Linked DNA regions of Tribolium castaneum. The protein of the gene in region 1 interacts with the protein of each later gene in a pairwise test. Links are inferred from orthologs where the notes say so. Each region holds a gene or a part of one and is shown in the gene's direction. Other genes may lie near its edges.

The links.
Region 2: the proteins of Rel (region 1) and grh interact in binary tests that used the Drosophila melanogaster proteins (3 or more experiments, as listed by UniProt). The link is inferred for Tribolium castaneum from reciprocal best matches to the Drosophila melanogaster genes Rel and grh.

The regions. Positions count from the first base shown.
Region 1 is NC_087400.1:6,389,307-6,393,192, reverse strand, and holds part of Rel (nuclear factor NF-kappa-B p110 subunit), read left to right. Parts: intron 1-2,209; coding exon 2,210-2,348; intron 2,349-2,394; coding exon 2,395-2,499; intron 2,500-2,546; coding exon 2,547-3,078; intron 3,079-3,886. UniProt on the Drosophila melanogaster protein: Transcription factor that plays a key role in the humoral immune response as part of the peptidoglycan recognition protein (IMD) signaling pathway.
Region 2 is NC_087403.1:7,765,094-7,769,213, reverse strand, and holds part of grh (protein grainyhead), read left to right. Parts: coding exon 1-471; intron 472-2,828; coding exon 2,829-3,016; intron 3,017-3,202; coding exon 3,203-3,365; intron 3,366-4,120. UniProt on the Drosophila melanogaster protein: Transcription factor that binds a CNS-specific regulatory element of the Dopa decarboxylase (Ddc) gene. Also interacts with sequences adjacent to other transcription units, including Ultrabithorax (Ubx) and engrailed (en).

The DNA.
Region 1 (3,886 bases):
CTTTAGTAGTGTGAGAATTGCAAACACGAGAGTTGCATCTTTCTTTATAAGTGTCTGTTGTAAGTATCGAAAATTAGTTTGAGACAAAATGAGGTGAAATTACATAAAAATATTTTGATTGAAGACAAAACGAGGTGAAATTACATGAAAATATTTTGGTTGATAAGATTTATTACCTAATCGGAATGACTCATGAATGAAACATGTGTAAGTTACGATTTGATGAATCTACACTTACAAAATTTAATATTAACACAATAATGAAAAATACCAGCTTTGGGCGTTTTTTTACAACTAAATAATTAAATCGTGATCGGAAAAAGTAGATTTTACACCGACATAATGATGATAACAGAGTATACACGAGTTTCGCAATGGGACGTTCCAACGCTTTATTAGATATAGGATTATATTTTAATCTGATTTTTCTCTAACGTCACGGTCTCGTATTTCATTGTTTTAGGAATTAAGTTAAATTCCCAGCTTTGTTGAAAAGTAGGAATCTGTATTTGATTTCTTCATAATTTTTTTATTGTTCCTTAAAATGCAACAGACATCTACAGCAATCATGCTTCGTATGAAGTAATTACCGTGCCATTAAAACACGAACGAGAACGCGTCGCAAAAAGTGGCAAAGCGGCGTGAAATCTCGGAAAAAAAATTAGGTTTTCACTCGTGGTGTAATAATCCACTCGTGAAATAAAGCGTCCGATTTACACTCAAACTCGTTAAATAATAGTATTAGCTAATGGAATTTATACTTTCAATGAGATATCTAATCATTAATTTAAAAAAATAATTCGGTAAAATGCGTTGGCGTTTTTATAGTTTTGAAACAGCTGATATATTACAAAACAAGTTTCATAAGACCAGTTTTAAAGCACGAATTCAGTGTAAAAAACGAGTGGCGTCAGTTTTTTATACTGTTTTTTGTAATTTGCACCCTTTTTGTCGTTTTTGACCAAAAGTTGTTATTTTTGTCGATTTAGGGATTTTTGTGACGGTTGGTAATATCCCAATTTTGAAAGTGAAAAATTAAATTAAAATTTTTGTTTTATTTAAATTCTGTCAAAAAACACGAGCATCAAAGATTATAAAGGTAATATAGCATGAACGCTTCTTGAAATTTGTGAAATTAGAAAAAATACGGTCTCGAATTTGCTTCCTGCCAACCTAAAAATTTTCGTAAAATGTTCCGTCAAATAATGACTGTTATGACATCGCACTTAATGACATTTAATATGCCTATAGTCCATTTTTTATATAATAAACTGTCAATGTCAAAATTCTGATAAAGACCAGACTGTATCACCCTAAAAGTTCATGTCCAGCCACTTTTGAAACTGGCTGTATTCTGTATTTGACATTTTGGACATCAGATTTGACATTTTTGAAAATTGGACGTTAGAAAATAACTAAATGTGTTGTTGTACGTGTTTTAAATTGGAGACAACTTGTAAAATTTGGAAACTGAATTTGGCAGCTAAAAAATTACATCAACCTTATTTCAAAAAAATTACTATTCATGATAGTGCCAACCTGACGGCTTTAAGACAGTTGATTATAAAAAAATCGACTATATTAAAGCATCAAAATGGCGGCAAATTATACAAGTATTTCGTGTTTGCTTTGGCAAATCTTAAATAACGCGCCAAAAGTGTATTCGCCAATGAGAGCGTCGCTCGTTCAAATGGACCAATTACGGCGAACCACATTTGTGATAACAAAAATGGCAGTGTGACGCAATTTAAAAAAAATCATAGGATTGAGTTTCGGTTGCAAAGCCAAATTCTTTATGGTCTTAAGGTTTTGTGTGTAAGTTTGCATTATTTATAAATATTTTGTCTGTATTAAGTAACTCTGACTCATAATATTTGCTGATAAGTGATAAAAGAAATGTAACCACGATTCAGATAACCGGCTGAAATCGCATAAATGATAACACAGGTTTTGATTGCACTATAAAGAATAACCGACACTAACCCCAAATTTGCAAATGTAATACCTTACATTTATCAATTTTAAGGTTGAGCCATGTGTGTCTGGTGCGAGTTGAGACTCGCTCAAGTCAGCGAATGCGACCGTAAGTCTCTTTACCCAACCCTTCGTAATAAACATATGTGGATATCTTCACTTAAACGTTTCAAAACCCACAGTAGTCGAGCCCTCGAAGCTATCTGTCATGTGTTTATCCCACTTTTCCTTTCAGATTAAGGGATTGGCTGAGGCTGAAAGCAAATTCATTAATCTGAATGTTGTTGTCTTGCGATTTGACGCTTTTTATGAAAACAATGGGATACTACATCCTATTTGCCCGCCGGTTTATTCACACACGATCAATAACTTGAGTAAGTATTGACTCAAATTTTCGGGTTTTTGACTCATTTTCTCTAGAAAGCGCCCTCACGGGCGAATTAAAAATCGTGCGAATGGACCACTGCACCAGCCCTGCGAAAGGGGGCCGAGAGGTGTTTATTTTAGTCGAGAGAGTCACCAAAAGTGAGTCAATTAATTGTGAAAAATTGTCAATTCATTTATTGGTTTAGAGAACATTAAAATACGCTTGTATGAGTTGGACGACGATGACAACATCTTGTGGGAGGATTATGGCCGTTTCAGCGACTTGGACGTCCACCACCAGTACGCCATTGTCTTCAAAACGCCCCCATACAGAGACCCCAACATCAAATCCCCGGTTAAGGTTTATATTGAGCTCGAACGGCCGTCCGATCGCTCCCGAAGTGAGGCGAAAGAGTTCACTTACACCCCCAGTTCAAGTGTTTATAAGCCGGGTGCCAAAAGAGCAAGGACGAGTTATGACACTAGTTACGATTCGTCTTTACCTAGTGATGAATTACCGCTACCGATCAATAATTTATGTATCGATAACACGCCAGGTTTGCTTGATGATGTTCAGTTAGAAGTTACCAGTGATGACCTACAACAAGCGATGACTAACATTGATTCGGAGGAGTTTCGTCGATTGTTCAATGAGTTTGGACAAGACTATTCATTGGTGGTGGATGCACCCTCGCAGTATCCCAAAAAAAATGCCCCCAAGGGGGGTAACAAGAATAGGTCAGGATTGTATACTTTGTTTTTTTATGAGATTTTTGAGCTACTTTGCGCCCTCTGGTAACGATTTTTTGCGAAAATATTGCATCAAAACATTGGTAAGAGACTACAACATGACTATAATACTAGTCAGGATAGAAACTTGACCATATAATTTACCTGTCATTAAGTTTTTAATTTTGGTACCTTATCATGAATAAAAACAATTAGCGGTTATCATTTTATATATTTTTCATGATTTTAATTTCCTTACCACAATCTGAACACAACTGAAATGTCAGTGAAGTCGCTAAATTTTTTACATTCTAATGGCATACTAAGTTTTATCGCCCGCCAAAAACTAAGTACTTCTAGTTAGATAAGAACAAATATTTATTTTACATTTAATTTTCAAACGTTAATTTGTAGTTAATTTAAAAAAAAACGTATGTAGGACGGAAGTAACAATCGAACTAATTTTTGTTTCATTATTGGTATTTCACAAAAATTTAAATGTAAAATATTGAAACCAGCTCAGAAAACGAGCATTTATTTTTTTTTTCAAAAATCTAGGAAAGAGACTACCAAAATAATTTTAATGTTGAACTTATTTTAAATATAAATGAAAGTAATCATCTTGAAAGCCCTCTGGGTTTGCTTACTACATTTTCTCTAATGAAAAAATACATAATTCTTTTTTATTATTACACTTTCACTGTAACATACATTGTTTATTATTATTTCTCATTTCATTTTGAAAAAATATAAATTTTGTGTTAAATGGTTTAATAAAAATTGCGATAGAAAAATAGAAATAGAAATAGAAAAAGTA
Region 2 (4,120 bases), on another chromosome or scaffold:
TTCATCTCCTCGGATGGCATCAAGCCGGCCATGTACGCCACCCAGATATTCGCCGCCATGACGAACAACGGCCACGGGGGCAGCGGCACCCCCTCGCCCACCCCCTACAGCGATCACGTGACGGGCTACACGCAGAGCGGCGCCGGCTACGCCGCCGCCAGCCGCACCGCCACCTCGGCGGCGGCGTTCGTCTCCGACCCGTACTACCGCGAGTACTTCACGGTCGCCTCCGGCGGCGCCACCCCCGAGCCCGCCTACTCGGGGCAGCTGCGCCAGAGCCAGGCCTACAGTGAGGAGGTCGGCGGCGGCACCACCGCCAGTTTCGTCGAGCGATACGTCAGGCAGCCCTACCACAGCAAGGGCGTCATCGCCGCCGCCACCGCCGCCGGACTCACTGTCGACCTGCCGAGTCCCGACAGCGGCATCGGCGCCGACGCCATCACCCCCCGCGACCAGAACACCCTGCAGCAGGTGAGCCAGGCAGACCCGAAAACGCCACCCCCAAAAATTTTCACTCATTTTCCTAATTTTTACACGTGTCGTTTGATAACCACGAGCGAATAGGGGATTTTTTTTTCCTTATAGGCCAATTTTCTATTGTAAATCAAAAATAAAAAAGGTAAGGACTACTTTGCTTTCTATGCACAGAGAAAAGCATTTTTTTAAATTTTGCTGATTGCGTTTATTTCAATTCAATTAAATGTTATTCATTATAAGAAAATTTAATCTTGGGCCAAGTAAACTGAAATGTTTGATGAAAGTAGTACATTTATGTCATGAAAGTTGATCTGTATTCAATGCAAAATAATTTTGAATTAAAGAAACAGTTTCTTAAATCAATTTCAGTGTATATTTAATTTGTAGTTTGTTAAATTCAGTTTCGATATACGGAATTCGATTTCCAGTTAAAGATATATTTGTTTGCATTTTGGCCCTTAAATGTACCTACATTACATTGGAGACGGTACTGAACTAAGCATAATATAGAAATTTTTTGAAAAAATTGAAAACTCGTAACAATGTTACGTTAATTTTTTGTTACAGTGAAACTTTTTTTTTTGCAAAATTTTGCAAAATTTTTCTCTCCTATCAAAAAATTACCATTTAAAACAAACAACTTGATAATTTTACTAAAAGAAAGATTTTTTAAAGGAACAATCAATATAATTGAAACTACAAATAATTTTATAGATTCAAATAAATATATGCGAATTTTGAACAAAGTTTTAATGTATTAAAAGTGAATATTTCTTTAAAAGAAAACGAAACAAACAAATTAAAATTTTCCGTAAAGGAAATATATTTTTAAATGGAACAATTCAAGTTGTTGAATTAAATAATTTATTGATTGTTTGAAATTATTGATTATTGAACCAAATAACACTTTTGTGTATTGAAAGTAATTGTTTTTAAATGAAAACTAAAGTTTTATTTAAAATTAAAGAAATGTTGTTTTATTTTAATAAATTATGGTTATAATAAATAAAATTAAATAAAACTAAAGAAACAAATTTTTTCTTGCCCATTTAGAACCAATAAATTTCCTTGAACTAAATAAATTTTATTTGAAACAAAATATTTTTGTCTCTGTGTAGGATTTCAGAATTTATTGGTTTTCTGGAACGGTTTAGAAAAACTGGGTTTTTAGCTCAAAATCTTACACTGAGCACTTGAAAAGGAGAAAAACCCCCGTTTTCGACTCAATTTGACAAATTTTCAAAAAAATTCGCCAAATAATTGTGTTTCGATTTTCGTGACTTAAGAGATTTTTTTGCTTTCCTTTGCCGTAAAGCTCTAAAACCGTAAAATAATGTTTTCGGCGGATTTAGCAAAATTTAAAATGTACTGACTTTTTCAATTGGGTAATTTTTAAACGAAACTTTTGCGAATAATAGCGTTTTGGGTGAAAAAAAGTGCTAATATAACACAGAAATGATAATATCATATGACTTTTGACACAGTTTGTTAATTTAGATAAAATCTAAATGTTCGAAAATTCGCCATTTTTATCAATTTTTGAGATTTTCCGGTTAGTTTTTAGCGAAATTTCTCTATACAACTGTGTTTCTTACTTAAATTTTGCCAAAAAGGCACAATAACGTGCCTGTTTTTTAATTTTTAATTCAATTCACTGTTTTTTAGAATGTTTGCGAGTTAATCCCAGACTTATGCATTTCTAAAATGCGAGATAAAACGCCTGAATAGGCAAAACTTAATATCATTGTGACTTATTGGCTTACTTCAAACAAAATTTTTCAAAACACCGTTCAAAAATGGTTAAAATTTAGTAAAGTTCTAAGTTTTGACGTTTGTTAACTTTTGAAAAATGCAAAAGTAACATAAATTCGACGATTTTCTGCATGGCTTTGCAACGAATAACCCTAATACATATTGTAAATTAGGACGTTATGTTTCAAAAATGGGCTTAAGTGGTTGCAAAATGTAATTGCAATTGTAATTGCATTACAGTTCTATTCTCGGATACCCTATCCGCCCCTGTTAGTAATAAATTTTTGAAAATCGCAAGGTTGCGAAAACAAATTAGAGGAACATCCTTTGGGGCCAGGTGTGCCGCAAGGTTCAGCTCCGGTCCCCCGCTTTCGCCTAATGTCAAATCTGATGGTGGCAAGTAACGCAGCCGCCATTTACTTGTATCAAAACAAAGCCATCTGGCATAGTCGTGTTATTTTTTCCCAAAATGGGAGCAAAAGATTGAAGATTTGATGTAAGTGCATACATTCCGCGGTTATTCCCCTTGCGATTCCGCCAGTGGCATTAATTGCGTCACAGTAGTCCTTATTTGTCGAAGGTATCCGAGGTCGTAAAAGTGTCATTTGTTTCAGAACTACGAGTACCCAGAGATCTGTCCGAATCCGAACATTTTGGACCCTTTGACGATTTCGCAACGGAACAGCTCGAGTTCGCAATCTCCTGGATCTCAATCGACGAGTCGAAGTCGGCCTTGGCACGATTTCGGCCGTCAAAACGACGCCGATAAAATCCAAATCCCAAAAATGTGAGTATTTGAGGAACAGGAAAGATCAGTCGTCGAATGACCTCGCAATATGGTCCACTGCCATGAACTGGATAAACTCGATTCGAGCACAGTGTCACTTGATACGAGTGCCTTATGTCACAGTTGTATTACTATCAGAGAGCCTGTTTGACTACTCGCAAATTTGACAAACGGCAATTGTTCCAGATTTTCGCCGGTGGGCTTCAAGTACCAGTTGGAAACGCCGATTTCGACGTCGCAGAGGCGCGAAGACGACAGGATCACGTACATAAACAAAGGCCAATTTTACGGAATTACTCTAGACTACATCCCAGACCCTGACAAGCAGCTCAAATCGCAAACAGTAAAGGTAAGAACACAATATCTAGAACAGGGGCGAACGCTCACTTCAAACGCGCGTTTTTAATTAATCTCGGAATTAAACAAAAGCTCAATCTTGCGGACCTCGGACAGAAAAATCGACTGATTTTTGCATGTAATGAGCGTGCCGCCCCGATATGGGATGGTCTCCTTAGTTAATTATGGAATTATGAAAGAATTAACAGCCAATTACTGGCCGGGAATTTGGCCGAAAAACTAGTCTCGTGACATCGTACCTCTTATGGTGATGCCGTAACGACTTATCTCCACATCTAACGCATGACGAATATCTTTCTAATAAGACCGTAAAACCATACGCACAAACACTTGACAACGGAATTATCCCTAATTATACTAATTAACACTCGACTTATTAATCACGCGGAATAATTACAAATAATAACGCTACACTTATCGATTACATTGTAACAGCACTTAATGGATGCATTCTTAAGTAAATGAACTGTCAACCCTCGCTAAGGTCGTAATTTAATGTGCGCAAATTACGACCAACTTATAATTTGACCAAAGTCCGGACACTATTCTTTTAATTGACCGTTTTTAATATCAGAGCCAAACACCATTATTAAAAATTATTACTTCACTACTTTGTCATTATTTCTACCCTTCGAACCGATCACGCAATCAACTTTTTATCGATCCAAATTTCAGACAATTTGCGCGGCACAAACAATAATTAATCATTTTTTTAATTACTAATCACCGAAACAGAAAAAACCCTAG